Arabidopsis thaliana: one gene and its partners. The protein of the gene in region 4 interacts with the protein of the main gene of each other region in a pairwise test. Each region holds a gene or a part of one and is shown on either strand. Other genes may lie near its edges.

Region 1 (9,210 bases), on a different chromosome or scaffold from region 4:
GATTCTGTTCTCCAGTAGATCTTGAACTGTCTATTGCTTTCCGACCAGTTATAATCTCCAACAGAACAACACCGAAGCTGTAAACGTCTGATTTGAGTGTTAGCTGGCCTGTCATTGCATACTCGGGAGCACAGTATCCGTATGTTCCCATAACCCGAGTGGACACATGAGACTTGTCCCCAACTGGGCCAAGTTTAGCCAACCCGAAGTCGGATAGCTTTGGAAAGTAATCATCATCGAGCAAAATATTTGAGCATTTCAAATCTCGATAGATCACTGGAGGCATGGTTTTGTCATGCAGATACTCCAAACCTTTTGCAGCACCGGCAGCTATTTTCATTCTGGTGTTCCAGTCAAGTGGCTGCTTACCAGGTGAAATGTCTGAAATAAAAAAAGCATCACCCGATTGAAATTTAAAGACTTCTCATAGGCATGTGTGATCTTAGAAGCGCATACCGTGCAAATGATCTTCAAGTGAACCTAGGGGCATGTACTCGTAGACTAGAAGCCTTTGATCTCCATCAGCACAATATCCTATTAAGTTAACAAGATTCGGGTGATGAAGAAGACTCAACATGAGAACCTCGACGAGGAACTCCCTGTTTCCTTGTAAACCATTATGATCAAGTTGCTTGATAGCCGCTGTCTACAAATGAAGATATAATGACAGTGAGCTTTCACTACCAAGAAGATTCAAAAGGTTAAAACCAAGCAAAAAAAAGGGAAGGAACCTGGCTAGTGCTGGCCAAGTATCCTTTGTAAACTCTACCAAATCCTCCTTCTCCTATAAGACATTCTTTTCTGAAGTTTCTAGTGGCAGTAGCTAACTCAGAGAATGTAAACGTTTGTGCCACAATGTGATCAGAGCCTTTACTTTTGGATTCACTCAAGGACGACTTGGCCCTAGATTTCTCTACAAAAAAAGAAAGAAAAGAAAGCGATAAGAAGAAATAATTAATCAACACAAGCTGAGCATAATTGTCTCAAGGTCAATAATCAACAAATTAAAGTTCTAAGAATATAGCAAGATACTTAAGGATCTAGCAAGTCCCATTTAAGAGTTTAATCCACAACTTCCACTGGAGAGCAATAACAACAATTAACAGGAAAGAGACATGCAATAACACATCACTGTCAAAATACTAACACAGGTGTTACAGAGTAGTCAAAAGCTAGTGAAATGGAAGGAAAAAAGCAATCTTTAAACAGAAAGTCAAAAACCCTAATCAGCATTAGCAAACGATGATGGCTCACAGGAATCAGAAAGTTTTAGCAAAGGATAAAAATTTCCATAATTTAGTAAGAGAAGGTTAAACCCAGAATTAAAATTGGACAAAGACTATAAAGAGAAATTACCTGAAGTAGACACAGAACAATCAGAAGACTTCCTGTCGAGTTTGTGGTCACCGTTCCTCCTTGTCTTATTCCTCCCACTCGATTTCCCAGAACACGGGATCCAACCCATTAAGCTTCTCACGATCTTCTTCTTCTTCAAATGATTCTTCGTTTCGATTGTGTTCGATGATCTCAAAAGCGAGAGAGAGAGAGAGAAGCTTAGAGAACTTTGAAATGTAAAAAAAGCACGCCAAGCCAATCGCTGGATTTTTCGATTTTTCTCTTTTGATATAAAATATATTTTTAAAACAATTTAATTTTTGTGATACAAATTAATGTGAATGGGTTTGACTTTGACAAATAAAAATTAATTGTCAAAGAAAAAAAGACAAACAAAAATTATATTTTATCAAAGTAGTATCAACTAACTACCCCCATGGAATTTAAATTTCTTTTCAACACACAAAAAGAGATTATTTGATTGAATAAATTTCTTGTGTTGTAAGTTGTAACAATATTGAAATTGAACTTTAATAAGCAACAATCGTGGTCACCATTATAGTTTCCAATCATTTGGGTATAAGAGATTGATTATTCCTATTTTAAAATGGTGTTTATCAAAGACAGATTTTTTCTAAGAATATATATATTTACGATATAAGCTAAATGATATTGAAAGAGATAATGTTGATACAATACGACACCGTACTATGCACGGCTCCAAAAGCAAGCTTATACCAAAAAATATACAGAGAAGGGGTTATTGTTTTACAAGTTTACAACATCTACAAAGATTTCACTACATCCTGAAACCAAACCCTTCGTCCTAATTTCACAAACCAGACCAGACAACGACAATAATAACAAACAATCAAATGTCGTAGTGTCTTTGTTTCGTGAATAGTAGTAGTATTATCAAAGAATCAGACTTTGAAGGGAAAATGTTAAAACATGTGATAGATATATATATATAAGATAGATATGAGCACATTACTCATGTTTTTGGGCTGAGAAATAGTGGGTTTTGTTGATTTTCCGTTAGCTATCCTCAATGTTTTTTATGTCGTTATCATCAGTTGCAGCGGCTGTTTTACGCACAAATTGGCCTCGCACTCGAGGGCGTTGTTCTGCTAGTTTTTTCCGGCTTTGGTATCGTACCTGAGAAAGCCAAAAAAAAAACATTTTTGCGGTTTGCATTTGCTTTCGCAATTTACAAGAATACTTTTTTTTTCCTTTGTTATAGATTTGACCGAGAATTTACCTTCTTTCGGAAGCACCTCTCTTTTCTCTTCTGACGGAACTTTGTCAAAGCAGCTTCCCTTTGAGAGATCTTATTTTCATCCGCCAAGTTTCCGCTACCACTTCCACTTCCGCTTCCACTACCATCGCCATTTCCATTTTTGCCAGCACCATTATCACTTCCCATATTCATTCCTCCAGCATTCATACCGTTACTGCTTCCATATGGCCCATTACTTCCATGACCACTACCTGATACACTTCCATTCACACTGTAATTCACTGTGTTGTTGTTACCTTCAATCGTTTCGTTGTACACATTTGAGGATCCACATTGTGGCGGTAGCTTCTTCCTCTCAGCGACATGGACAAGGTTATAGGAGGCATGATTATTATGATGATCACAGGGTAAAGGCTGAAACGATGAATGCTTCACTGATGAAGATCCTGCTGAGCTTACTTTTGGAGCTCCTGGTTTTGTGAAAGCGTTGTTCTCAGTCGTGGAACTCATATCAAAGTTATTGCTACCGACATGTGAGCGATGATTATGGGGGAGACTCTCATTCATGTTCGAGTGACAATCATATGCTGCTTCAGTCTTTTTTATAAGATCCTGACTATTATTATCCTGAAGCGAAGTGCTTCCTAAGTTCCCACCAGAAATCTTATTGGCATTTGAGGCTGGATTATACCTGCACAAGTCCAACAGTCGATCTCATAGTTCTTCAATAAGGCATTCAAAAGGTTGTGTACGGAAGAAAAAACAGAGGTTTGATTCTAAGAAAGTACCTTGAGAAAGCTGAGCCCTCTGAACGCCTCAGCACATTCCGATCATCCCTAACTAGTGTCCCATCATCTTTAGTTCCTCTATGCCTCTTTGAACTATGTTCCACGTGCATTAGCTCTTCAGAAATTTTAACAGAAGCTTCATTTGTATCTAAAGTTTTCAAGTGAGTGTTAGGCGCCTCAGGTTCTCTGTTATCTTGAAGGTGGCTAGACATAGCTTTGAAACTCGAGCCTCCATCTTCATGCATTTGTTTACTTGAAGGACTTTCGCTACTGAGGTCCAATGGTCCTTTTCCAACTTTCATTTTCCATTTACTAGAGCTCTTTTCAAACGAATTATCCTGTCTCATAATGCCAGTAGTTTTAGATAGGGGTTCATCTTTTGGCTCCAGGGCCAGATCACAGTTTCTACGAATGCTAATCTCCAAGTCTCTACCCATTGTGACATCTTCTGCAAAATAGATGAAAAACATTCAATATCATGTTTTTGAGTTTCAGTATAAAGAAGAGTATGGAAGAAACTAAGAGATCACAGTTTCCTTTCTTTACCAAATTTATCATCATGTTCTTGAGTCTCCTTCTCAGCAGGTGGTGCAACCAACTGATTACTTGGAAACTCAGGGTTAGAATGTACCACTTGGGCGCAAGTGCTATCAACTCGGTCCCATAGAGATACCGCTCGTGGACTGTCATCAACATCCACAGCTTTTTTCGTCCAAGAGCTCTGAACAAAAAAAGGTATGTCAAAATCAACCTAGGTTTTGGAGATAAACCATGTGCAAAATAAAACTTCAAAATGAACTAGAAATTTTCACCCAGTTTATCACTGAATAGATCTAAGTTAAACATCATTGAGTTCTACAATTGGTTAGTTAAGCGCTTCCACCATTTATAAGCATCTGAGTGCACATGCGAAGTTCGATCATCCGACCCCTATCATTTGTGGTTAAGAAATTTTTAAAAGGATAGCTTCTCGGGTGTATATTTAGATTATCGGTATTGCACATTCGTCTTACCTGAGCGCCACTCCCATCACTACTTCCATCACTAGCATTCAGGCCAATGCTCCCATTTTCATTCTCATCACTGCTTCCTGAATCTTGATCAGATTTTTTAATACTTTTCGATTTCACAGACTTTTGAGTTTGATGCGTTCCGCTCTCACTTCCACTACCACTAGACTGAACAAGAAACAAGGAAAACCATGAGAAACCAAAAAGTAAGATACCAATCATGTGGAAAAAAAAAAAGAAGATACCAATCCACAATTAGACCATGAATTTCTAGTTTACTACTTATCACCAGTTGTACCAACAGGTTTTCAGATTAATCATATATGAGCAAGGACATACACTTTGGCATCTTCTCCAAACATGCTGCCAAAGGATCTTAAGCTCATTTTTTCTTATTGGCTTAACAAGAAAGTCAACAGCTCCTTTCGATAAGCACTTAAAGACCAGCCCCATTGAGTCATGAGATGACATCACTGCAACACAAATCTCACAGGGGAATGTAGTTAAAAGCATCTACTTTCCAACATACGCTAGAGAAGACTCAACAAATCGTGTAACTTCAAAAGAAAGAGCTCAATGTAAAACGACCAAGGAAAAAGAACTCACTGATGACAGGGATGTTCCGACGAGATTTGTGGTTCAAAATCTTGCACAAGAGACCGATACCAGATAAGTAAGGCATGATCACCTCTGTTAGCACAATATCAATATGATTGTTTAGATCTTCTAACACCTTCCAAGCTTGTATCCCATTTGACGCCTCAACAACTGCCATGACAGAGTTAATAATAATCAATCAACAAACAGAACCGAAACGGGTACATATATGCGCTATAGATTAAAGTTGGGCCATAGGCTTCAAAACTGACCTTCATAGCTACAATTGCGAAGAAGTGCAGTAACGATATAACGAGTGCAGTCGTCATTTTCGACAAGCAGAACTCTAATGGTTCTCACATGAAGAAACCTTTCCCAACAGACAGTTGCCGCTGTTTGTTGCGACAATGGAATTTGCAGTCCACCTGAACTCCCATTTCTCACATCCATAGTAATTCCATTAGTTTTCTCTTCTTCACTATGCTTCTCTGTCCGACTCTCAACCCTATCGAATTTCGTCTCTCCGGTCTTTCGATCAGTGATTGGGTAACGTGAACCCTCCCCCTCCTCATTAGCATTCATCACACCAACTCTGCTTCGCTGAATTCAAATGATCAAAATATCAAAACACAGCCATAAACCCTAATTTCGATTATTGCAATAGCTAGAGGAGTTAGAATCGTACAATATCTCAGATTAACAGAAAAAAGAGTTGAAGAACGACGAATTCTCAAAAAACCAACTAATCAAGTAACTTTTTGAAGAATCATCAAAAAATCGAATCTAGACAAATTACATCAAATAAAAATCCAACCATACAAAAGCATCTAAATTCCAAGAGAGTACTGATCTTACAATAATCAAATACTAGAACGAAGAATCGAGCTCCAGAAGTTGCATCAATCACCAGAAAAATGGATCTAGCACAATCAGCTAACGGTTGGGAAATAGAAACAAGGAATTCAAATCGATAAACAGAATTAAGAATCGAAGCTTCTTAGAACTTTAGAAGGAAGATAAACACAGTGAACAATTTTTGAGATTATGAGGTTTTTCTGTCTCCCAGAGAGTGGAAATCGGAGACGACCATAAGCCACCGATTTTTATTTTTCCGGAGATAGATAGATATTAGAAAGATTTGTCTCGGGCCAACAAAAAAAAAAAGGAAATTAAAAAATCGTAATATCTGACATGGACAAAACTAGAGGTCCCGAACGTTCGAGAAGTTCCACGTCAGAGCGGATATTTCCACATCATATATTGGCGAGGATTAGTGACGTGGATGGTATATCAAAAACAGTCGTTCAGGAGGCTAGTGGCAGATTATTAAGATCTTTTTGAACTGACACGTGTAATGGTGGGTAAGGAAAACGTCAAGTGGTAAACTCATCTGGACCGTTGAATAGATTTTGGCGGAAGAGACTAGCGTTTAAAGATTTTATAGATGTAGTTAATATTGGGCTTACCATATGGGCCATTCAAAAAGATTTTAACCCAATAAAAAATATTCAAAAAACTATCGTCGACAGCAGGGTTCGAACCTGCGCGGGCGAAGCCCAATAGATTTCAAGTCTATCTCCTTAACCACTCGGACATATCGACATCTCGTTAAAAGCACAATTAATTAACTTAATAAATGCGTTTCTAAGTCTACCCCTTTAGTTTACCCTAGAAATAACATTCACGAGATACGTTGACCTAAAGGGTAAATTTTCCCGCCATTGTTAGTACCAGAACTCTCTGGGCCGCCGCGTCTCCGTCGTCGTGGCTATCTACAGATGGCGGATAAGAAGAAGCGAAAGCGATCAAAAGATGACGAGGCGGAGGAACTTCCTTTCAAAAGCATTCTGGAATCAGACGACGTTATCACGGAGCTTCTCAAATCGTATATTTCCTCTTCTATCAAAGCCGCCGCCGGAGCCGGCGGTGCCTCCTCCTCTTCATCGAAACCTCTAACCCTAGCTGACCTCTCTCTATCATCTTCCTGTCGTGAAGTCGCAGATCTCTCACTCTCCTCCGTGCAGACAGAGATAGAGACAGTCATCGTCCAGATCGCCCGTTCTATTCTCGCCGGTGATGGCTTCTCCTTCAGTGTTCCTTCACGCGCCGCCTCGAATCAGCTGTATGTTCCTGAGCTCGACCGTATAGTGCTAAAAGACAAATCTACCCTCCGTCCATTTGCCTCCGTTTCTTCTGTCAGGAAAACCACCATCACCACTCGTATCCTCGCCCTTATCCACCAACTCTGCCTCAGGAACATTCACGTTACTAAGCGTGATCTCTTCTACACCGACGTTAAGCTTTTCCAGGTAGGTTCTTCTTGCTTTCAATTTTACTTGAGATGATACTTTCTTCCCATTAAATAGAGAATGATAGTCACTGTTTTAGATCCAGCTCTTGTAAACCTGAATCGAAAGTTCTAGCATTGATTCTTTGTAGTTTCGATTTTGGAAGGTTTTTGAACCAATTCGCAACCTTACTGAATTTTCAGGACCAGACACAGAGTGATGCTGTGTTGGATGATGTCTCATGTATGCTCGGTTGCACAAGGTCAAGTCTCAATGTCATTGCAGCAGAGAAAGGTGTGGTGGTGGGAAGGCTTATATTCAGTGACAATGGAGACATGATAGATTGCACAAAGATGGGAATGGGTGGGAAAGCCATTCCACCAAACATTGACCGGGTTGGAGATATGCAGAGTGATGCTATGTTCATACTCTTAGTTGAAAAAGATGCAGCTTATATGAGGTTAGCTGAAGACAGATTCTATAACCGGTTCCCTTGTATCATCGTGACTGCAAAAGGCCAGCCTGATGTAGCTACAAGGCTCTTCTTGAGGAAAATGAAAATGGAGCTTAAGCTTCCGGTACTTGCCTTGGTGGATAGTGATCCTTACGGATTGAAGATCTTGTCGGTGTATGGATGTGGGTCGAAGAACATGTCATATGATAGTGCAAACTTGACTACGCCTGATATTAAGTGGCTTGGAATTAGGCCGAGTGATTTGGACAAGTATAAGATACCTGAACAGTGTAGGTTGCCGATGACTGAGCAGGATATTAAGACCGGGAAGGATATGCTAGAGGAGGATTTCGTGAAGAAAAATCCCGGGTGGGTCGAGGAACTTAACCTGATGGTGAAAACGAAGCAAAAGGCTGAGATTCAGGCGTTGAGCTCTTTTGGTTTCCAGTATTTATCGGAAGTTTACTTGCCCCTGAAACTGCAGCAGCAGGATTGGCTCTGATAATCAGGTTTCTTCCTGATCAATTAGATAGACCAACAAGTGTACTCTACAAATTTCGAATTTTTGATAATGCAATTGCCTGTTTCTTAGCATGTGAATTATTATTGCAAAGATCGAAATTTGGTTTTAAATTTATGGTTGAATCTACACAGAACTGGAAAGATAGCTGTCAGATGATTATTTAGAAGACAACTCTTTTGTTTATTTAGAAGATTGTATACAATATGATGGGCATTGAGATGATATGCAATCTTTCCCCATTCTTTTCTGCATATGGTTTGAATTAGCATAAAATACAATGATGACTGATTAGTAATGTAACAGTCGGAGGCAGCTACTTTCTGCGCTGCAACCACTGATACAGAGACGCCTTTGTAACCATCAACCTCTCCAGAATCGCAGGTCTCCTCGTTGAGGATATACTAACAAATGACTTAGTGTTCTCTTGGTCTGCATCATCTACACAGTGTGCATCCTGTATGATATTTCTTTGTCCAGCAGGAAGAACCACAAGAGACAATTCATCTCGTAGAAGCTTCACTAGCGCTTCTTGCACAGTAATCTCTTGCTTTCCTGAAACGGTATTTGCTTCATCGGTTCCTATGATAATCAACACATCATCTATTACAACGTCACCTGCAAAGGAGATTCAGTTAGTTACAAGTGTTTTTTAGTCTCTACTGGCATAAAATTCAACAACATTTGATTTTTTTGTCCTAACTTAAGCTGCATGTATGCTGTTCCCGTTTGAAATGTTTACCGAGTCAAAAAGTTACTACATGAGAGAGAGAATGTATTGGTGTCTTGAATCTTACCTCGCATATAGTCTTCCTTGATCATTCGCAAAACTGCTAGAACAACAAGTCGAGCCTCAATCTGTAAATGGATGCAAAAGTTTGACATGGTCATATCGCTGAAAGAGTTAAATTGATAGGACTACAAGCACATATGAATATTTCATTGTCTCCAGTAACTTACCTTGGTAAGTCCTTGAAG
Region 2 (8,322 bases), 7.6 Mb from region 4:
TCAGGGAAAGTTCAGGCACTTGCCTGTTGTAGAGAATGGTGAAGTCATTGCTTTGTTGGATATCACAAAGTGTCTCTATGATGCTATCTCACGGATGGAAAAAGCTGCAGAGCAAGGAAGTGCTTTAGCTACTGCAGTGGAAGAACGGCATTGGGGAAGTGGAAACTTCGCTTTCATTGATACATTGAGAGAGAGGATGTTCAAGCCTGCATTGTCAACTATAGTCACTGAGAATACCAAAGTTGCACTTGTATCAGCATCAGATCCTGTCTTTGTAGCTTCCAAAAAGATGCGTGATTTGCGGGTTAACTCTGTGATCATCGCGGTTGGGAACAAGATTCATGGGATTTTAACTTCAAAGGACATTCTCATGAGAGTTGTAGCACAGAATCTATCTCCTGAGCTGACTCTTGTTGAAAAGGTAATGACGCCAAATCCTGAATGTGCATCAATAGAGACAACAATCCTCGATGCATTGCATATAATGCATGATGGGAAGTTCTTGCATCTGCCGGTTTTCGATAAAGACGGATTCGCCGTAGCTTGTTTAGACGTGCTGCAGATAACTCACGCAGCTATATCAACGGTTGAGAACAACAGCTCAGGAGCTGTTAACGATATGGCGAATACAATGATGCAAAAGTTCTGGGACTCAGCTCTTGCGTTAGAACCACCTGAGGATTACGAAACACACAGCGATATGTCAGCAATGCTGATAAATTCAGAAGGGAAGCAGTCGTGTCCATCACAAGGACTTGTGAGCTCGTTTGCTTTCAAATTCGAAGATCGTAAAGGGAGAGTACAGCGGTTTAACTCAACTGGTGAGAGTTTTGAAGAGCTGATGAGTGTTGTGATGCAAAGATGTGAAGCGGATTCAGGCCTTCAGATAATGTACCAAGATGATGAAGGTGATAAAGTTTTGATTAGTAGGGACAGTGATCTTGTTGCTGCTGTAACTTTTGCTAGGTCTTTGGGGCAAAAGGTTTTGCGACTACATCTTGATTTTACCGAGACAATTGCTCCTCTTGAGACGATTGCAGATTTGTCCGAGGGAAATGGCGGTTGTGTTTGGTGGCAGACTGGCGTCTTGGCTGGTGCTATTGTCCTAACGAGCATAGGTTTATTTGTTTACTTAAAACGTTCCAAGAAATGATATGTTGAATGGGAACTTAATTGTATTACACTGTTACTTTGTCTTTTTATTCGATTCACATTGCAAAGCAATAATAAAACTTGTTACCAAAACATACTTGTTCCTGTTTGAGAATTGTGATTGTTCTCTCAGTAGTCAATAGACAAGAAGGCAGGTTTGCCCGAGTGGTTAAGGGGGAAGACTTAAGTTCTTCTGCACATAAGTGCGCGTGGGTTCGAACCCCACAGCCTGCATATTTTTCCTAAAATCTTTTTTCCTAAAAACTTCATGCATTGAAAATTTCAAAAAATAAAGAGAAAGATGCAGGCTGTGGGGTTCGAACCCACGCGCACTTATGTGCAGAAGAACTTAAGTCTTCCCCCTTAACCACTCGGGCAAACCTGCTTATTGAATATCTGTTAATAAACCAAGTACTTGTTATTATTCTACAACCCAAATTCAAGAAATTTTTGTCCTTCACCATCACTTGATTAAGCTTATTTCAACAGAAAGTGAACGATAAAAGTGATAAACCGAGAAGAAAATGATTTATCTACACAATTTTGTATGAATGTTTTTCTAGTCATCTTCAGATAGTGTTCACACCTTTTTTACGTGTGAACTCTTGTTGAATAATAGTAGTCATGAACACAAGCAGGTCTATTTTAAAACCTTTACTAGAGTTGCAATTTTAATATAATAATGAAGAACTTATTTTATTTTTGTTAAAACTCCATCGTATGTCACCAGAGATCATAACAATCACATGAGAAGATTAAAGAGTAAAGCCGAAATTAGATTGAAATAAGGGGCTACCGTCCTCGACAAAGGCAGAGCATTCTCATGTTTCCCTTACAAAAATGAGTAACTTTTCCCAAAAAGGGTTCAACAAAAGACGTAAGAAACCAAACAAAGAAGAAACAAAAACAGAACGTTTTATTTAATTAAAGCAAATGATCAAACTCAGGTCATCTTCTCCTCGTCACAAAGAAGACCACTTTGCTTCTAAAAGCTCCATTTAGTAGGGTTCCACAGGTTTGCGGAAGTTGACTCCAGCGTAAATTGCCTCTGATCCCAACTCCTCCTCAATACGCAAAAGCTGTTGAGAAACAAGACACATATTAGACAATGTACTCTGGTTGTCAAACATAAAGTCTTTACTAGTGGTCTGAGATGTTAAACCTGGTTGTACTTGGCAAGACGCTCGGATCTGCAAGGAGCACCGGTTTTGATTTGTCCCTGTATAGACAGAAAGATCCAAATGAGAGTCCGACAAAAGATATAGCATGAGATTGCTAGTTAAATGCTTGCAATGGTTTCAACTTACAGTGGACAAGCCAACGGCTAAGTCAGCAATGAATGTGTCCTCGGTTTCACCACTTCTGTGGCTGGTCATCACTCCCCAACCTGCTTTCTTCGACATCTTAACTGCCTCGATACTCTCGGTTACAGATCCGATTTGGTTAACCTTCAAAAGAAGAGCATTGCAAGACTTCTCTGCGATTGCCTTAGCAACTCTCTGGAATAAGAAAAGAGTATAAGAGAGATGTGAGCATTTTAAGAGAGGGCAGACAACAAAAAAAAACTGGTAAGAACACTGGCAAATAAAAACAAACCTTGGGGTTAGTGACCAACAAATCATCACCGACAATCTGAACCTCGGTTCCACACTCAGTGGTCATCTTAGCATAGTGCTCCCAGTCATCTTGGTCAAATGGGTCCTCAATGGACACGATTGGGTACTCAGCGACAAAGGACTTGTACAGGTCCTTTAGAGCATCACCAGAAATCTTCTGAGAGCCATTGTTGTTCTGCAGAGAAACAAAGAGCGCAACAGCTACAAGTTAAGAACAGGTTTCTCACACTCTATCCTGACAAGCTGTTACTAAGGAAAAAGAAATTTCACCTCTTCTTTGAAGTTCAAGTCGTAGGTCTTGTCTTCTGAGTAGAACTCTGAAGCGGCAACATCCATTCCAATGACAACCTGGAAAAAATTGAATGGGATCCATTAGTTTCATGAATTATGTTTCGGGTAAAAGGACAGCCAAATTACATCAGATAAGAGACAGACCTTTCCAGTGTATCCAGCCTTCTCGATAGCAGTCTTGAGCAATTCAAGACCCTCCTTGTTCTCCTGAATGTTTGGTGCAAACCCACCTTCATCACCAACATTTGTGGCATCCTGGCCGTACTTCTTCTTAATCACAGACTGGAAAAACATATGAGAACAAGATGGTTAAGCCATAAACATGTAATACATGTTAGTTCACAGGAACCATCTGCGAAAAAGTAATACATGTATATGGAATATTCATTGAAGAGCATCTCAAAGACCAAAAAATATTGGAGATTTACCTTCAAGTGGTGGTAAACTTCCACACCCATCTTCATGGCTTCCTTGAAAGAAGCAGCTCCAACAGGGAGGATCATAAACTCCTGCATAGCAAGCTTGTTTCCGGCATGGGATCCACCATTGATGACGTTGAAGGCAGGAACTGGTAGCACAATCTTGGGGTTACCAGCAAGGTTGGCAATGTGCTGCACCCAAATACCACACAAAGGGAAAAGCTTAGAACATTTATCACCGAAAAAACCAAGTAGCCAAAGCAGTAACAATCTTATCTTCCATGGACAGAGGGAACCAACTTAATAGTGCCAGATCGTTCTACCTTGTATAGAGGAATGCCGCTGACAACAGCCCCAGCTTTGCAGACAGCAAGAGACACAGCAAGAATCGCATTGGCTCCAAGCTAAACACAGATAGAAGGCGCAAGATGGTCAGACTTGCCTTCTATTCTTAAGTGAATACACAAAAAATGAATTTTCCCTTTTAAGTACCTTTTGCTTGCACCACCCCCACTCGTTTTGGGTTCCGTCAAGTTCATGGACCATGAAGTTGTCAATAGCAGTCTGCTGAGTTGGGTCCTGCAAGAAATAATAAAAGCAACAAAAATAAAATGAGTGAGCCTAGCGCATAGAATTAGACACAAATTTGATGTTCTGAGAGTAGCTTAAAGTGAGTCACTCACCTTTCCAATAAGTGCTGGCCCGATGATGTTGTTCACATTGCCAACAGCCTAGTGATATAAACAAATAACGAATCAGTCAACATGATCAATTGAAATAACTCTACTAACACTAAAAAAACACACAGAACAGATCGCAGTCTCTCACCTTAGATACACCCTTTCCAAGGTAGTCAGATCCTCCATCCCTCAGCTCAAGAGCCTCATAGATACCAGTGGAAGCTCCACTTGGAACAGCTGCTGTAACCTTAATACCATTTGACGTGTGGATATCAACCTAAACCAACATCATCAGAGAAATCATTAGCTTTCTTTTCAAATTCGTCATTAGCAAACAATCGAAATCGTAAAAACCAGATGGAAATAAATAGATCCGTCGCAAAAATCATATAAACAAAATCAACTCCATCATCGACAACTCACGATCCAAATCGCCGAGATCAAATCACCGATCATCGTTCACAAAAACCAAATCTCATTCACGTACGACTACTAGATCAATTCAGGTTTACAAAAAAACGATTGAATAGTGGTTTTAGCATCGGATAGTCATCAAACAAACAGATCCGTCACGAATACTGTACAAAGCCGGAAAGTGACTGGGAAATACAAAAGTGATCGGAGAAACTAACCTCAACGGTGGGATTACCACGACTGTCGAAGATCTGTCTAGCCTTAACAACGGTGATAGTAGCCATAGCGAGTAGATCTAGAGAAAGAGATAAAGGCGATGTGTTCGAGGGTTTTAGTGAGAATCGCTTCAACAGTAGTAGCTGAGGAAATGGGTTGGTGGTCTGGTTCGATATATAAAGACGTCACGGATTTAGCCAAAACCGTTGGATTGTTTTAATAACAGCCGTTGGATGAGAACAGTCAGCTCTGATGCAAGAAGCCAAAACGATGCGCTGCACGCCTTTTGCAGAATAGAAGAGTTTTTTCCATATTGTTTTGCTCCTTGTCCAAGTAATACCGACTATTTTTATTAAAGACTTTAGAACAAGTAAGAATAATATATGGCATCTAGATTTTATTCCATTTTCCGACTATACGTTTCACTGTTTCCATTTTTATTTTGTCAATAACATCTTTTATACCATGTTTGAAATTTGGATGGTTGTACAGAACTCTCTAGAAACAATTCACTAGTTGAAAATTTTCTTTTTTGTTAAAGGGGTTTCGCTAAACTATAACTTAATGGATATGTTTGTGGGTCAAAAACTTTGGGCCTTACTTATGTGACAAATTCTCCACTAGGGTTTCAATGTCCATCAACCATTTTTATACGATATTAATGGACCATATTTTTCAGTAATCATTGTTTGATTATGCTTATTCTATATGTATCAACATTTAAAATGCAAATCACTAGTTCTATAATTCTTATCAAAATGTGGTGTTTGCGTCGGATTTTTGGATGCTCTTTGGACTTTGGAGTTTCAAACTCAAGATTATGAGGTGATCTAATATTTATTTTAATCTAAGTTACTAATTTTTGAAAATAATTTAAATGTTGCTAAACTATTATGATTTTTATGTTCTTATAAACTTTTTTTTTTGTTAAAAGGTTCATATAAACTTAGATATTTCTGTTAATAATTTTAATTTCGATTAATTCAAATATAAGTTTTTCATGTTTTATATGAAAAAAATAGTAAACAAATGCGTTTTACTTATGTAAAAATTGTCAGAAGAAAATAGAGCACAATCTTCCATGTTTCATCAGGCTTCCTCCGAGCCTTTAGTGCTATTTCTTTTGATAGAATTCGTGAGAGATTCCCCAAATCATAACAAGAAAACAAAATGGTAAACGGGAAATATAACTCGACAAATCAGCGTCGATTAATTGATGTATCGACTTTTGTCCATGTATAACAACTGCTGACAGGTGGAATTTTCTGATTGGTCGCTGTAAGTCGATTCACACTACCAAGTTGGATACAGGAAAAAAAAAAAAAAAAAAAAAAAAGAGAGAAATTAAGGATAAGTACAAAAAAGATTTGTGAGTATCCAAAGAGCCGCTTGAAGAAAAACGCCAAATAAATGGTTTTGATCTCGTGAAGCCAAATCGCCATTAGTCACCACCTTAAATGACTCACCTAGTATATATATATATGCACCATATGAGTTTGATCAATCTCATTCAATACAATGGCTGAAGAAAAGATCAAGAAGAGCTTGCTTGCTGCGGACGACAGCGACGATGAGTACTCAAGAGGTGATACAGTTTCAGATCAGACAGAACTGAGTTCGATTCTTGATAAACTTAGTCTAGAACCTAAGACGGAGAAAAAGAAACTCTTGGTCTTGAGTCTAAGTGGTCTTCTTCTTCACAGAGTCCACAAAAAAGAGTTGCGTAAGAAACCCAAGAACCGCTCTCCTGATGCTTCTTGTGGGCCAAATCTTGGTAACGTTTCATTATTCTTTTATTAACTTTGCTACCTTTTTTGTATTTATAGTTTATTTGTGTTTGTTTTGTTGTTTAGTGTATAAGAGACCGTTTGCTGAAGAGTTTATGAAGTTTTGTCTTGAGAGATTTGAAGTTGGTATTTGGTCCTCTGCTTGCGAGTTAGTCTCTTCACTAAACATTCTTATAGTTACAGGTTAATATTGTTGATTTCTTAAGCTTAAATAGTACTTTTTATCTGACTCTTCATGTGTTTGATTGATAGGAAAAATGTTGACATTGTTTTAAGCATTGTGCTTGAAAATCTCCAAGACAAGCTTCTCTTTGTTTGGGTAAGACTCTCATTGTATAGAGATGTGTGTCTATTTATGTATATATAATTTCGAATACTCTTTTATTGTAGGACCAAGAGAGTGTACGGACAGTGGATATAAAACACTAGAGAACCGTTACAAGCCTTTGTTCTTTAAGGATCTCTCTAAAGTGTTCAAGTGCTTTAAAGGCTTCTCTGCTTCAAACACCATCTTCATTGATGATGAACCATATAAAGCTCTTCGTAATCCTGTAAAACACTCGAATCTCTATTATAGTGTTGTTTATCGATAACTTTGTAGTTCTTAATCCTAATTCTAATCTATCTTGATTTGCATTCAGGACAATACTGGTCTGTTCCCAATGAGCTATGATGCTTCTAACATAAAGGATAATTTACTTGGTATGCAAAATTTAAACTTCTGCTGTTCACTTCTTATCTTTAGACATGCGTTTTGGTTTATTTGTGATTGGTCTTTTATTTTGTTAGATCCGGAAGGAGAGTTGTGTTCTTACTTGGAAGGTTTGGCAAAATCATCGGATGTTCAGGCTTACATAAAAGTGCATTCTTTTGGACGGCCCATGATCGATTCTTCTCATCCTGATTGGTCTTTCTACAGCAACGTTTCAAAGATTGTCTCTTAATCTTTTATGATTATTAGTTTGTTTAAGCTTCGTATCTCAATCATTATCTTCTTTTGCTTAGTAATGAACACATTAAAAAGTCTACCTATTTCAATTCTAATAAGAAAGATGAATCACTTGTGCTTCAGCATTTGTTAATTCTTCTGTACGTGTTCAATGTCGATCAACCATTTTTATACTGTGTCATGGTTGATTATATATTCTCTTTTGGACCCATTTTTCATTAACAATTATTTGATTATGCTTATTCTATGTGTCAAAATTTGAAAATTCAGATCACTAGTTCTAATTTTTGTATCAAAATGTGGTGTTTGTGTGGGAGTTTAGGATGTTCTTTGGAATTTCAAACTCAAGATGATGAAGCTAGGTGATCCAATATATATTTAATCTAACTGGTAATTTGTTAAAATTTGTAAAATAATTTGAATAACGCTAAACTGTATATGGGTTTCCATGTTTTTATATGAAAAAATAGCAAACAAATTCTTCTACTATTTTTTTCGTCAACAAATTCGTTTACTTATTTGACATTTTTTTCAGAAAAATATATAATACAATTTTCCATTCAGCTTCTTCTGAGCCAAGTGAGATTTCATTTAATAGGATTTCTTTTGATTTTAAAACAATAAAAACAACTGGTAAACGAGAAATAGAAGTTGATTCAGTTTAAATTTATAGGATTTTAGTCTTTCAACATTTCTATTGTTGGATTCATCAAAAACTTTAAATGAGATTCATTATTCATATGAGGAAAAAATCAACTTTCAAAGCGATGGAAAAGATGTACAGTATCTACATTTTCC
Region 3 (7,745 bases), on a different chromosome or scaffold from region 4:
AAATACTCCAATCGTTACAAGTTCAGTTTTTAAGTGCAGGATGACTTGTTTCCACCAAGGTTATGCCAAGTGAATGTCAAATCAGAAACAAAACAACTTAGCATTAACAGAAAGGGTAAGGTGAGAGAAATTACGTACCACCACTCAACATCTGGAATTGGCTCCTTGGGCTTCTCTTTTCTCGGGACACGTTCGGATACCTCTATCAAATTTGGATTTATATCATCGTTTGCCTTAGCCAGTTGTGCTTGCTTCACCTTCAGCTCCTTCGCTTTTGCTTCACCAAAATGACTCTATAAAGAAAAGACAGAAATACACACAATGAGACATCTAAAAGACCACCAAGAGAGAATATCGTCAAAAAGAATCCATACAAAAGACAATGCATACCTTAAACTTCAAATTTTCAGCATCTCTTGTCCATTTACCTTCCTCAACAAACTGGAAACTCATACGTTTAGGTCTCAGAATCTTTTTTTCATCAATACCCATCCTTGTGTCAAAATAGGGGTTTTCTTTTAGATCTGCTTCCAGTTGAGGTTTAAGAATCTGAAAAGCATCTTTCTTCTTTTTGTTTATGTTAACCTGTAAAATCCAAGTACTTTAGAAGCTCGATCATATAAAGAAAAACATGAAAACTTAAGATATTCAAATTAACATTGCTGACCTTCAATGTACTAAGATTGCTTGGTTTAGTCACACTAATCACATTTCCGTGTTCATCTATCTCCCTTCCTAGTGCATCCACGCGCAGAACAGGGGGCTTTTCCGGTCTCTGTGCAACAGTCATATCTGAGGGTGCCTGTCCTGGAAATAGGTTAATAACGGGAGCGAACTCTCGATCCTGATGAAATCCCATATTAGCTGCCAGCTCCTGGGCTCGCTTAACAGCTTCAATGTTGGCAATACTCCCAAAGCCAGCAAGGCCAGTATGTGGTAATGTTGAAGCAAAAGATGTGCCTGTAGAGACAGCAGGAGTGGTAGTCGATGGTGGCACTCTGGTATGTGGGCTACCTTCTGAAGTTGGCTTAGTAGCCTTCTTCAGCTGCACAGAGAATAAGAAAAGCAATTTATCAAATACAAAGTTTTCAGAGAAGAATGAACGCAAAAAAGTATAGAATATCTGTACATCTTACCAAAGGAAGGTTCTTCAATCTATCAGCCAATCCCTTTTGCAATTGTAGTGCTTTCCTAGCTTTCGCTGCTAACGCTGATGAATCAAGAGGCAAGTTTGCACTACTTTTCCCAGCTGTGGACAATGGTCTTCCATCTGTACTAGATTTTCCAGGAACCTCATGAGATCTGACAACACTAGCCTTATTTTCATCCGTTGTAGATATCGAAGATACCTTAGTGAGCAGTGTTTGACTAGGGGCAGCAGAAGCTTCCGATGGAATAGAACTATATGTAGAGGCTCCCTGCACAAAAAAAGAAAATGCAAGCATTAGCTAGCGAAGAAGACTAGAGGTAATCATGAACAAATCGCAAGTAGCAAACAAAGAAGATTAACGAAAAGGTATAAAGAACTCACCATCGTAACGCCACTGGTTGGATTCGTAGCCCCAGAACCCTCAGAGACTTGAGCATCTTTGTTCTCAACTTCAATAGCCACATCCTCAAACCTGCTCCTCCTCTCACCATTCCCATCAGCAAACCTAGATTTCTTCTTCCCATCCCTAGCCCCATTCTCTTCCTCTCTATCTTTCCTCTTGCTCCTCGATTCCTTCTCTTTACTACCTTCGTGAGACCTCTCATGGTGATGCTTTTCCCTATCTCTACTCCCTTCTCTCTCGCCTCGCTCTACAGATCTCCCTCTTCTATCCTTGGTCCTATCTCTCTCATCTTCCCTATCGCCGCGCCTCGATGAACGGTAGTGATCTGAATCACGACGCTTCGAATCAACATCGCGGTCACGGCGGCGTCCTCCTTCACGTTGTGGAGAATGGTCGGGACTCGAATCTCGATCACGATCGTCACGGTGGCTCCTGGAATATCTCTCCTTATCCATGGCAGAATTTAGGGTTTATTCCTAACAACAATTTGCTTCTGATTCGCCGGTCCTATAAATATACGAAAATTCACAACCGGAATAAACCAGCGATTCAGATTAGAACCAAAACGACCAGCGAAACCAAGTTCTGAATCAGATTTTTGTTCCTTCCGGAAAAATCCTAAAGGGAGCGAAACGATACCGGATCCGGAAGATATATAATCCAATCACCGGACTACAAGCTTCCCTTATGGGCTGAAGCCCATTTTTGAGTTCCTTCTTGAGATAGTTCTTCAATTTTGAGTCTAATGGGCTTTTATATCATCTTTTACTTAAAAAAAAAAAAATCGACGATTCATCTTCTATAGAGATATATGAAAATTCAAGCTATTTATCTTTAAAAAGAAAAATATTTGATGTCAGGTCGCAGTTTTCTTACAAGCAGAAATCCAAACTCTTCATACCAACTATTTTTGGAATAAACAAGATTTCTTTGCCAAGAGTTTTCATACCAACTATTTTTTGGATAAATAAGATTTCTTTGCCAAGAGATTTCCACAAGTTGACCACAAATTAAACATTCGATCAAAACTCAAGAATTCAAATATAGAAGTATATAACGCATATATTCCGCTTTGACTCAAAAAAGAAAAAACCCGCTCATATACTGTATTATGTATAGTCTGAATCACAAACTCTCTAACACGTGAAATTTAATGCGTTAGTCAAGAATCGTTCCGATTGTTACCACTCCCCAGGAACTTTTTCAAGATATTTATACCTCAGAATGATAGCACTTTACAAATAAGTTATACTTTTTTTCAAAACAAAAAAAAACAACTTATTGAAGTCTATGGACAAAAAGAAAATATCTAACATGAATCCTAAAATATCTTTACGATTTTAATTTTATCACATCTTTTGTCAAGAACTCGTGTGTAGCAGTTTATTATGCACATAAATATATGCTATACATTACGCTGCAATGTTCGTAAATACTAGTTCCAGAAAAAGACGATTCCAGCCGTTATTACACTGATCAAAAAGTTATTGCTATATACGGAAAGAATTAATCCCATAAAAATCATGTGCTTTGAACTAACTTTCCCTTTATACGTTAAAATAGATATTTAGGTGAAAAAGCAGATTAGATATTTTCTCTTAGATTCTCTGTCACAGTCAACGTAAGCTTCGCCGTCTGAACAATGGCGACTCTCTCAGCACGCTTTTACACCGTCAGATCTCAACATATCTCAATCTGAACAATCCATCATACACAAGTTCCATACATCGCAACACAGAAAAACAAATCCCTAACCCCAAACTGTTTACAATAATTAGCTTCGTTGTCTTCTTCATTCCAAAAGATTTGCAGATAATTTTGACAAAGCCCCCCAAAAAAAAAAAGAGTTCAAAATGAAAAACGTGAGAAATGGATTTGTCATCATTCTTCTCACCGTCCTTAGTCTCTGAAAATAAATTCTGATTTTGATTTCGAATTTTAGGGATTTTGAGAGAGAGTCAGTTATGAGTAGTTCGGAGAGAGTACCGTGCGATTTCTGCGGCGAGCGTACGGCGGTTTTGTTTTGTAGAGCCGATACGGCGAAGCTGTGTTTGCCTTGTGATCAGCAAGTTCACACGGCGAATCTGTTGTCGAGGAAGCACGTGCGATCTCAGATCTGCGATAATTGCGGTAACGAGCCAGTCTCTGTTCGGTGTTTCACCGATAATCTGATTTTGTGTCAGGAGTGTGATTGGGATGTTCACGGAAGTTGTTCAGTTTCCGATGCTCATGTTCGATCCGCCGTGGAAGGTTTTTCCGGTTGTCCATCGGCGTTGGAGCTTGCTGCTTTATGGGGACTTGATTTGGAGCAAGGGAGGAAAGATGAAGAGAATCAAGTTCCGATGATGGCGATGATGATGGATAATTTCGGGATGCAGTTGGATTCTTGGGTTTTGGGATCTAATGAATTGATTGTTCCCAGCGATACGACGTTTAAGAAGCGTGGATCTTGTGGATCTAGTTGTGGGAGGTATAAGCAGGTATTGTGTAAGCAGCTTGAGGAGTTGCTTAAGAGTGGTGTTGTCGGTGGTGATGGCGATGATGGTGATCGTGACCGTGATTGTGACCGTGAGGGTGCTTGTGATGGAGATGGAGATGGAGAAGCAGGAGAGGGGCTTATGGTTCCGGAGATGTCAGAGAGATTGAAATGGTCAAGAGATGTTGAGGAGATCAATGGTGGCGGAGGAGGAGGAGTTAACCAGCAGTGGAATGCTACTACTACTAATCCTAGTGGTGGCCAGAGTTCTCAGGTTTTGCTTATCTCTCTTTTGATTTTTTTGGCTAAGAACAGTTTAGTTTTTTCTGTTAATGAGCAAGTGAGATTAAGTGGTGAAATGTTTTTGTGTAAGGTCAAATATAGTCACTCTGTGTGGTTTTATGGTTTCTCAAGAAGATAAAAAAATGAAAGGTTTCTTAACCTGTGTTGTGAACTTGTATACAGATATGGGATTTTAACTTGGGACAGTCACGGGGACCTGAGGATACGAGTCGAGTGGAAGCTGCATATGTAGGGAAAGGTGCTGCTTCTTCATTCACAATCAACAATTTTGTTGACCATATGAATGAAACTTGTTCCACTAATGTGAAAGGTGTCAAAGAGATTAAAAAGGTAATAGTTCTCATTAACCTTAGTCATTTAAGTAGAGTAGTGTTTAAAACACAATACGTTGTCATCTCCCGTTCATCCTCAAAAATTGTTGTAGACAGTTGCTTCTTTTAGTGAATGATAGAATTCAGAACATGAAACCTAGTCAGAAAAAAGTTACAAGCTGGTTTGCTTTTCTTTGTTTTACCTCATCACCAAGCCACCAATTCTAACATTTTGGCTTATGATATATATTTGCTAGACTGCTATGCAACTTAACTGTGATGCTGATTAGGATTCTTTTGCAGGATGACTACAAGCGATCAACTTCAGGCCAGGTACAACCAACAAAATCTGAGAGCAACAATCGTCCAATTACCTTTGGCTCTGAGAAAGGTTCGAACTCCTCCAGTGACTTGCATTTCACAGAGCATATTGCTGGAACTAGTTGTAAGACCACAAGACTAGTTGCAACTAAGGCTGATCTGGAGCGGCTGGCTCAGAACAGAGGAGATGCAATGCAGCGTTACAAGGAAAAGAGGAAGACACGGAGGTAAATGCTGCTTTTTTCTTTCCCCTTTAATAATTTTTTATTGCCCATCTCCCTTAAAGAATCTGATACCATATTTCGTTTCTCCCTTTGTCTTGGATCTCGGGTGCCAACAGATATGATAAGACCATAAGGTATGAATCGAGGAAGGCAAGAGCTGACACTAGGTTGCGTGTCAGAGGCAGATTTGTGAAAGCTAGTGAAGCTCCTTACCCTTAACCTTAAGTCTCTTCACATAGGCTTCCTTTTAGCTACAAACTTAGTTACTTTTTTTACTTCCACTGCCTCATAAATGTACAGACCGGTCTCGTTTCATCTGGCCGCCCTTCTGTTTTATTGCCTTATCTGGCCCTTTTATGTACCTTGGAATCTTATCTAGTTTAAAAAAGATTGTAACCTTCTAGAAAACCATATTCTGTTGACAGTATATACATGTCTATCCAAGCATTTTGAAGTCTCACAAGCTAATACGCCTTGATACTCTTTGTTTTAAAAACCCTGACTTATGGCTGTTAATCAAAGTTTTCCAAGTCCAGTTCGCAGATGGCGAGCGGATCTGCGGCTGTGGTTCTTCGTTGCTGTTTCTTTGGTGGTTCTGGCTGTGTTGGCCAATTCAGAAGGTATAAATCTCCCTACTTAAAGAGTTACTCACAGGCGAAATTCCACAATCAGTTTATTCTAGTGTATAATACATGTAGTGGATGTTGTATAATGTTTATGCTTGAATGTCATATAGCTCTGCAGACGTGGGATCCGATGCAGGTGACAATTCTTCTTAAAAGACAACTAATTCTCTGACTTTCCTCTTAGTGACTATAAGAATAGACCAATTCTCTATTAAATTTTTCGTTTAACAATTCCCTCAATCAAGAATTCTCTTCTCTGTATTTCTCCTCTCCATCTTTATCTTACCTCTCCGAAACGCCTTGAACCCTCAAAAATGTCCTTCATCCTACTCGGATTCATATCTTAATAAATGTGAACCACTTGGAATCCCCATTCGTTTTCCTTTCTGCGGCAATCCAGGATTCAATCTCCACTGCAACAACCTCGATAAGACAGTCCTAGAGCTTCCTATGTCCGGAACATTTCTTGTCGATGAAATCAACTACCAAAAGCAGCAGATTTCTATCAGCGACCCTGAAAACTGTATGGTTAAAAGGCTTTTAACCTTCAATACTTCAGGATCTCCTTTCTCTTATGGCTTCAGTTTCTACTACACGTTCTTGACCTGTCCGAATGAGGTCGTGATACCGGTTTGGTCTCTGATGTCCATCCCTTGCCTAAGCAATTCTACCTCCTCCTTCTTCGCCACGTCTAATTTGACTTTTTCAAAATTGTTGCCGCCTTCTTGTCAGATTGTGAAAGGACTATACGTTCCTGTTGATGTGATATATAAAGATGTGATAACTGAAGAAAAAGGGTTCTCTACAGTGCCCTGGCTTGGAAACGTCTTGTTGGAATGGAGCTCGCCGAATTGCAGAGGTTGTGAAAAGGAGTCCTTGAGATGTGGTTTCAAGAACAAGGCCTCCCTCGAAGTCAAATACTTGGCTGATCCACCCGGTATGATCTTTATTGTTTTAACTTCTTCTTCTTCTTCTTCTTCTTCACTTATAAGTTATAATCGAAGAAAACTCCATTATTGGTAAGGCTGAAGAAGTTTTGGTAGAAAACTTCAAATCCAGGTTCTTTTAGGTTTAGATTAATCAAGAAGTTTTTTACAAAGAGAAATCCTAGTAGGAATTAAATATGGAAATTATGAATTGACTAATTAGTTTTTTATGGTCGAAGATTAGTTATAATTTAACCAACCGAAGTATTCTCAATTTCTAATTCCCCACGCTAGCTAGCGATCGCTAGAATACTTAACGCATATTTTTTGTTTTTATTAAACTGACATTTGTTGAAATAAGCAAATATCAAACAAAAATCGTAATCAATTAATTTCTCTACTTCGACTGTTTAAAACACATTCTTGATATGTTATCCGGCAGATGAAACAAAAAGTAGATTACGACCACTGATAATAACCCTTTGCATAATCGGAGGAATCACCGCAACTTGTATTGCTGCTATCCGCATTTACAATTCCGAGAGGTTTGTCAATCAGAGAAGACAAAATGCAGCTATTACAGCCAGAAACACAACGCAACAACCACGAGGGGTTGTGGTCACTACAGGTCTTGACCAATCTACAATAGAATCATACAAGAAAGTGGAGTTGGGAGAAAGTAGAAGGCTTCCAGGTACTAATGGTATCATCTGTCCCATTTGTTTATCAGAATATGCTAGCAAAGAGACTGTACGGTGCATGCCAGAATGTGATCACTGTTTCCACGTCCAATGTATCGATGAGTGGCTCAAGATTCATAGTTCATGTCCTGTTTGTCGCAACTCACGCTCGTAAAGGAACTTGTTGTTTGTTGTTGTTTGAATATGAAGTATTTCGACATTTTAATGAATGTCACTAATTCTTCTGCTTGTAAATCGATCAAATAATTCAGGAGTTTCTGTAAATCAGGTTACATATTCAAACAAATAAAAAAAACAACTCAAG
Region 4 (6,895 bases):
TTCTTGAGTCGCAACAAAATCAATCACATAAATTAATTGGAAAATCTGTTTAACAATTTTAGTTTGAAAAAACAGAATGAACAAAAAGACAAAAGAAAAAGAAAAAAAAAAGGTCGGTGCCGTATTGAATATCACCAAAGTCCACTCCACACCCAAGAAACCGCAACAGCCAAAACGACCAATGATAACGCAACTGAGATTCTACTTGACGCGTCAGAGACGCTAACTGCTTCCGGTTGCAGAGGCGGAGACACACTCTTCTCAAAGTCTTCACTAATTCAAAACACAACAACAACAACAAAAATATATAAAACAGTTAACAAAACTTCCAAAATATGAATTTTGAATAATCTAAGATTCATTAAAATTACCAAAAAACACTAAAATTAACATTTTTCGAATATTACTTTCCTTATTTAGTAAATTCAGTAGCAAAAATATTACCTTGAAGGAGAAGGACAGAAAGTGATGACGTAATCAGCACCGGAGCAAGTAAAAGTGCTTGTGCCGTCGTCATAAGCGTAACTATAAGCCGTCGGACAAGTTTTCTTAAAGAAAACAGAGTACTCACTCGGCTGACACGTGTCCGGCGTTCCAAACGCGCCGTTACAACAAAACTCCGGCGTTCCAAACGCCTCACAAGCGCTCTTGCACGCCACAGCACCCGTTCCAGCCGCTTCAACCGTTACTTTCAGCTGCTCCGGACATAAGCCGTTGAGATCCGCCGCGCAACCCGTTGCGTTACACTTACCGACTCCGATAGCTCCGCCGTAAGGAACGATCGTCATTGGGATGTTGTAACCATCGACGAGGCTAACGTCGTAGAAATCTAGATTTTCGGCGCCGTTGAGTGTGAATTCGGCTAGTGTAGCTGGAGGGATTGCTCCTGCGCCAGAGCATTCGATTTGGGATGAGCCGCAGTCGCCGGTGACGCAAGTGAATATTCCGGTGATTTCGTTTTGGTTGCAGAGCGTGCGTCCCCATATGCGGCCGGACCAAGCGGCGGGTATGGAGATGAGTCGTGACTCAAAGGAGTTGAGGGAGAAACCAGTGGTGGGTAATGGAGCGGTGCCGGCGCCGGAGAGAAGTCCCGGCCAGACGGTGTAGTTACACTGGTTAACGATGGTGAACGTGGTGGAGGAACCACCATTGATGAAAAACATAATCGCTAAGAGAAAGCAAGAGACTTTAGCCAAATCCATTGTTACCGTTTGATGTTGTATGATTCAGGAGAAGTTAGGGATCGTGTTTATATAAGAGAATCGGGGATTTGTGTTATGGAAAGTTTCATAATATCAATTTTCCCTATATGAGTTTTGCCATTACAGAATCCGATACATGTTCACTCATCATTTCCTTTATTTCAATATTCTCATTAATACTTGTGAAATGGAAATTACGAATCAAGCTAGTATACTTGTTATCCTTTTCGAAAATTATACATTTTTTTTTTATAACTATTTGTTGAGGATCTCTTCCTAAATTCAAAACTAGAAATTTAGATAAAGGTTAGAGGAGGAAAAAGCTCTCTTTTGTTTGTTAAGGAAAAAGTTATTTAGTTTAAAGACTTTGATAGGAAAGAGACATGTATGGTGTTGTGTAGTAAGTTAATTGTACTGGAATTGGTGGGATTTTGTATTAACGGAAATAAAGGAGGTGTTGGACATTAGAAGCTTGTCTTTGTATATGTTAAGAAAGATCAAGTCACTTCCAATAACAGAACACGTGGGATCCAAATGTTTATATCCGAAAGATTCAGCTAATCACAAGTGTAATTAGGTTAAAAAAAACTAACGGGATTAACTTCATCATCTTCTTAAAACATCACGGTAAGTAGAGAAAAAGAAACCACGAACTGACGAACAGGCATAGGCACTACAAGATCACGCACACCATGTCTCTCCTCTGTTCAGGAGATTCTCCTAAAACAAGATCTAAGTAATCTAAAATATCAAAAGATTATTCTTAAGCTAATATCTCTGTTTCATCAAGAACAAGAAAAACAGCAATGCAGAGTATAAGTAAACCAGTTACAGGAAAATCTTTAAGCTCTCCAACAAAGAGGAACCAAGAAAGACTTGTGACTCATCTCTTTGTATTTACAAGTTAGTAAAAAAAAGTCTCAAATCTTGGTATATAACAGAAGTGACCATAACAGATTGAATTTTCAAGTCATACAATCACACTCATTGCAAGGAAAGACAAGAAACTGTAAATAAGCAAGCACACATATCATTCAAGATCTCAAACTTATGGCATCAACAAAAGCAGTGAACAGGTTGCATAAACCAGTCAAAAGAGTAATATAGAGAGATCAAAAACTCCCAAAACAACCATTCTTAAACATCCTAAACGACTTTAGCAATCACATTATAGTCACCAAAAAGGAGCATTAGGTAGATTTTAATAGAAAACAAAAGAGGTTTATGAACATTACTCTTCTTCTTTGCATCTTTTTGTTAAGCAACCGAAGTACATTCCCTCGCAAAGTGACCTTCCTTGCCGCAGATGAAGCACTTGTTACTGCCACCGCCACCTCCGCTGCTTCCACTTCCTCTCCGATCACAGTCACGAGCCAAATGGCCAGTTCCTCCACATTCGTAACAAGCACGACCACCACCACCACCACCAGAAGGTATCTTGCTGGTGCAAACTTTCGCAATGTGGCCAACTCCGCCACAGGTATAACAAGTGCTTCCACCACCTCCAACGTTTCCACCGCCGTTTTGCCTACAATCCCTAGCGAAATGTCCCACACCACCACACATGTAGCATCCATCACCGCCAGATCCACGACCACCACCTCCTCCGTATCTGTTTCCACCAGAACCACCACGACAATCCTTTGCCAAATGACCAACCTCACCGCAACTGTAACACGGACGACCACCTCCTCCTCCTCCGCCGCTGTTTCCACCACCGCTTTGCCTACAATCCCTAGCGAAGTGTCCCACATCACCACACATGTAACATTCACCTTCGCCGCCAGATCTACGACCACCACCACCTCCAAAGCTTTTCCCACCACTTCCACCGTCACAATCCTTAGCCATATGACCAACCTCACCGCAATTAAAACAATTACCTCCGGATCCACGGGAGCTGTTTTCCTTCTTATTAAGTGAACCGCCGCCGGGAGCAGTAACTTCAATGGCCTTAGTCTTTCCGTCGCTTCCAAGCGCGATTTCGTATTCAACCGATTCACCAAGAGTCAAGCTACGGAATCCATCGGAGACAATTGAGGATTGATGAACAAAAAGCTCTTCGCCGCCATCATCGGGAGTAATGAAACCGTAGCCTTTTCCATCGCTAAACCAACTAACTTTTCCGATAGATCTCGCCGCCGATTGATCTTCCATCGCCATTAGATCAGAGAAAAAGGTTAACAAAAACTCGAAGCACTTTGTTCGTACAAAGAGAGGAAATGGGTAAAATGAAAACCCTAAATTGCTACTTGCTAGATCTATTAACCCCAAATTGACCTTAAATTCGCCACGTCAGCTCCTTCTCTATCGGCGGCAGTTACCACGTGTGCATTTTGGATCAGGCCCATGGTTCACATAATGAAATGGGCCTATTTATGTAAGAGTTTCAAAAGAACTAAGCAAAATTGATAAGGTTTGATTTCACACTAACTTTAAAAAAAATGCTTGAGATGTTTTATCATCTCTTAACCATCCCCAAACTCTGGGAATTGGATGAAAATGCAGTCTATAATTATCACTTTTTGCAAAAAGAAAGGGATATTCATAGTAAATCTAAAGTAAATATGACATGATTTAGATTATTATGTTATACTTCTACTAGAAGAGAAAGTGTTTCACACTTTTGGTTGTTTTATCTAAACAATATATTATATTTTGATATTATATCTATTTTTATGCAACTTATTTTGCATCCAAATTTTCAATATCCCAGCTCACTTTTTTAATTCAATGAACCAATACATGGATGATATTATCCGAAGTTCAATTGTGAAGAAAAAAATGATTCGATCATATTTTCTTCTAGAAGCAAGAAAAAAAGAACATCCCAATTACTTAAACTAATTATTGGATATCTATCGTCTATTATATATATATATATATTATATATTTTGATAATGTATGGTGTCGAACATCAACAATCTTCTGCTTCCCATTGTTTATGGACAGCATAGCTTTTGTCATGACAATGCTATACTTAAGAAAATGACAAGAGTTCCTTTTTTTATTTATTTTTCTTTTAATGACAATAGTGAATTTATAATTACTTTTTTTTTGTTCACATTTAAAATAGTTATATATATGTGAAAAGAATATGAGTTTTTTTTTGTAAATATTATGAAAGATTCGTGAGATGCAAATGTTCCAGAACATGGCATGTTGAAACAAGAGTGACACATGGATTATGATGACGAGAAGAAAAGAACCTTGTCTGTCGTATTTGCTTAGCTATTTTGGTGGCCCTGGTGAAGGCAATTTAAATTGACTATAATTATTATCATCATAAACGTCATGTTAGTATAACTCTGAAATTCTGAGCAAGAAATTTGACCCAATGTTAACTCTTTGAAATACCGTTATTTATATAACTTTTACCCAAAAAAATTAGAATCATAAAATTAACCCATGCATGCATACCTAGTTGATTGCACAACGTTCAAACTAAAAATGTTTATAACGCCCATAGAAAAAACTCTCAGTAACCCTCCACATACACATATCACATACATCGGAATTCACGATATGCGATTGTAACGTCTCTAAAAATTACTCTTTTCACAGTCGCGTGACAGGAAAAAATTCACTGCCACCAAGGCAAACAACGTTATCGAACTTTCGATAGACTAAGACCATGAATGGTAACATAGACCACACCCAAAACCGCACCGCAACAGTATTAAAATCTTTACATATATATGTATTTATGTATTTTTGTTACTATTTGACATAGATCTTCTTTTCTTTTATTGTCGATGTCGGCTGATTGTGCGACTAGAAAAAAAACACTCCCAGCTTTTTAAATTAGGTGACTACAACATAATACAACTAAAATTTTCTAAGAATGCTATATGATTTCAGTATGTAAATCTTACCTGTAACAAAAAAAATCTGTTTCTCCAAGGCTACATACTATTGATTGCTAAGTTGGAACACTTTAAGTTATACATAAATTTTTATTTTCTTTATTAGATGGTAAATACTAAATACAGACTACTTACTACTTATGGATACAAAGGCTAAAAACGCGACAGATCCTACGTGGCACGATAAACCGTGTTGATCCTACGTGGCACAACCACCCAGAATCTCTGGGTTTGCTCTAATTACAACCAATTCAATGGTTTTGGACCAACTCGACACATCGAGTCAACTCGCTACCAGCACTGATCGGTTTCCCAATTCCGTCCACCGTAACTGCCGTATCCAGCCGTTAACGGCCGGCTCCGAAGAAGAGTCCTCCGATCATAAACGGCGCGTTTCTCGGGATCCGAAAGCGTGCAATACGCTGCGTGGATCTTCATGAAATCGTCCGCCGACGAGTTATCCCGACTATTTCTCGCTACATCGGGATGACAGATCCTGGCTAGTCGCCGGTAAGCTGATTTGATCTCTTGACTCGTCGAGCCGACGGGAATTTCAAGGATCTCGTAGAGAGACGCGGTTGCTGAAAATCGCTGCGGGATTTGGCGTAATCTCGGTAGATCTTCGGCGCAGGTGTAGGACGCGGTGGTTGTAGAAAGCGACGGCGAGATCCGGGAAATGCGTGACGGTGGTGAAGTAGAAGAGAACGACGGAGAAGAAGAAGAAGAAGAAGAGAGAAATGGAGTAGCGAAGAAGGTTGGGGAAGAAGAAAGCATCGTGAAACGACGGCGTTTTTGTTTGTCTTTTGGTTTAAGTTCCGATTTGGGTTTTGTGATGCAGTGTGATTTGAGATGAGAAATTAGAAAGGTTTATTTATAGGGGAAGAAGTGATTAGTACGTATAACGTTTAGTTAGCTTTTAAATAATTGAAGATTAGGCAGATTAATGTATCTTGTCCGGTTAAGCAAAATCGAACCGGGTTGGGTCAGTGTGTTTTCGGATCTTGAGAAAGCTGAGTCAGACTAAAAGGCTTATCCACAGTTGTAAATAATGGGAGAAGTGAGATAAGATTCAACGAACGAACGAACTTGAGAGTGGCAATGAAGTTATTATTGTCATCTACCAAATTTTTCTATTTTTGGTATCATATAACAAAACTTGATAACATTATTATTCACATTGTTATTATTTGTTTTCTTGTTTTGGTACTCATGAAACTTAAAACATTCGATTAAATGTTATCCCTAAGCGAATATCCGGAAGAAATCGGTAAATATAGTTGTATTACTGATCTACTTTGTTTCAATCGGATAGTTACTTATTAACTAAAGTTGTAACTATTATTAACTAATATGAAATATCACCCATACTGTTGGAAAGATCAATAAAAATATGAAAAGTTAAAAGGACAACGATGTTTCATATTTTGATACCAAAAAGATACATTCATTTTCCATTCGGTATCTTTTTAACCATTCAGTGTAATTTAAAGATACATAAAATGTAAACAGACACTATAGAATCATGATACAATATGTATGAAATATATGGACTAAATAAATATATGGACTTCTTTTTTTCTTTTGTGTCTTCTGAGATTTTTATTGTTAAAGGTTGTTTATTGTTACAACAAGAGGCCTTGCATAATTAGCTTTTAGAAGTTTAGTGTTACAAATAATTACACTAACCACCAAACAATTAGTCTGATTAGTAATCAAAAGGGAGAAGGATCCCCTCAACCATCAACTAAAATATATGGACTTTACAATTTAGGGACATCGGTCTAAAATCTATATATAAATTTGTTTCATATCGTGTTAAATAATGAA

Evidence for each region.
Region 1: the proteins of CSP3 (region 4) and PRR7 interact in a two-hybrid assay, tested with the Arabidopsis thaliana proteins (one study listed by BioGRID).
Region 2: the proteins of CSP3 (region 4) and LOS2 interact in a two-hybrid assay, tested with the Arabidopsis thaliana proteins (one study listed by BioGRID).
Region 3: the proteins of CSP3 (region 4) and BBX13 interact in a two-hybrid assay, tested with the Arabidopsis thaliana proteins (one study listed by BioGRID).

The regions. Positions count from the first base shown.
Region 1 is NC_003076.8:635,910-645,119, forward strand, and holds PRR7 (pseudo-response regulator 7), read right to left. Parts: upstream 6,118-9,210; 5' UTR 5,826-6,117; intron 5,571-5,825; 5' UTR 5,553-5,570; coding exon 5,243-5,552; intron 5,142-5,242; coding exon 4,980-5,141; exon of another isoform or gene 4,887-4,979; coding exon of another isoform or gene 4,847-4,886; coding exon 4,713-4,846; intron 4,542-4,712; coding exon 4,377-4,541; intron 4,085-4,376; coding exon 3,910-4,084; intron 3,812-3,909; coding exon 3,364-3,811; intron 3,267-3,363; coding exon 2,597-3,266; intron 2,494-2,596; coding exon 2,374-2,493; 3' UTR 1,772-2,373; downstream 1-1,771. Other genes in the region: CDL1 (Protein kinase superfamily protein), read right to left, coding at 1-381, 457-646, 732-913, 1,357-1,465; RHL2 (Spo11/DNA topoisomerase VI, subunit A protein), read left to right, coding at 6,749-7,279, 7,462-8,214; AT5G02830 (Tetratricopeptide repeat (TPR)-like superfamily protein), read right to left, coding at 8,549-8,850, 9,030-9,090, 9,193-9,210. UniProt on the Arabidopsis thaliana protein: Transcriptional repressor of CCA1 and LHY, and positive regulator of LWD1 and LWD2 expression. Represses the expression of other clock proteins and master regulators of plant growth, development and response to abiotic stress.
Region 2 is NC_003071.7:15,318,931-15,327,252, forward strand, and holds LOS2 (Enolase), read right to left. Parts: upstream 5,200-8,322; 5' UTR 4,857-5,199; coding exon 4,791-4,856; exon of another isoform or gene 4,615-4,790; coding exon of another isoform or gene 4,582-4,614; intron 4,436-4,581; coding exon 4,307-4,435; intron 4,210-4,306; coding exon 4,162-4,209; intron 4,058-4,161; coding exon 3,971-4,057; intron 3,883-3,970; coding exon 3,802-3,882; intron 3,671-3,801; coding exon 3,488-3,670; intron 3,342-3,487; coding exon 3,204-3,341; intron 3,117-3,203; coding exon 3,039-3,116; intron 2,944-3,038; coding exon 2,749-2,943; intron 2,652-2,748; coding exon 2,460-2,651; intron 2,372-2,459; coding exon 2,315-2,371; intron 2,232-2,314; coding exon 2,151-2,231; 3' UTR 1,826-2,150; downstream 1-1,825. Other genes in the region: AT2G36500 (CBS / octicosapeptide/Phox/Bemp1 (PB1) domains-containing protein), read left to right, coding at 1-1,153; AT2G36540 (Haloacid dehalogenase-like hydrolase (HAD) superfamily protein), read left to right, coding at 6,307-6,562, 6,642-6,758, 6,966-7,126, 7,217-7,277, 7,365-7,519. UniProt on the Arabidopsis thaliana protein: Multifunctional enzyme that acts as an enolase involved in the metabolism and as a positive regulator of cold-responsive gene transcription. Binds to the cis-element the gene promoter of STZ/ZAT10, a zinc finger transcriptional repressor.
Region 3 is NC_003070.9:9,773,430-9,781,174, reverse strand, and holds BBX13 (B-box type zinc finger protein with CCT domain-containing protein), read left to right. Parts: upstream 1-3,131; 5' UTR 3,132-3,517; coding exon 3,518-4,303; intron 4,304-4,494; coding exon 4,495-4,662; intron 4,663-4,946; coding exon 4,947-5,191; intron 5,192-5,304; coding exon 5,305-5,407; 3' UTR 5,408-5,653; downstream 5,654-7,745. Other genes in the region: AT1G28060 (Pre-mRNA-splicing factor 3), read right to left, coding at 139-293, 391-585, 668-1,045, 1,137-1,418, 1,532-2,008; AT1G28040 (RING/U-box superfamily protein), read left to right, coding at 6,265-6,751, 7,183-7,595.
Region 4 is NC_003071.7:7,761,817-7,768,711, forward strand, and holds CSP3 (cold shock domain protein 3), read right to left. Parts: upstream 3,461-6,895; 5' UTR 3,366-3,460; coding exon 2,460-3,365; 3' UTR 1,712-2,459; downstream 1-1,711. Other genes in the region: AT2G17860 (Pathogenesis-related thaumatin superfamily protein), read right to left, coding at 262-268, 445-1,202; AT2G17880 (Chaperone DnaJ-domain superfamily protein), read right to left, coding at 5,360-5,842.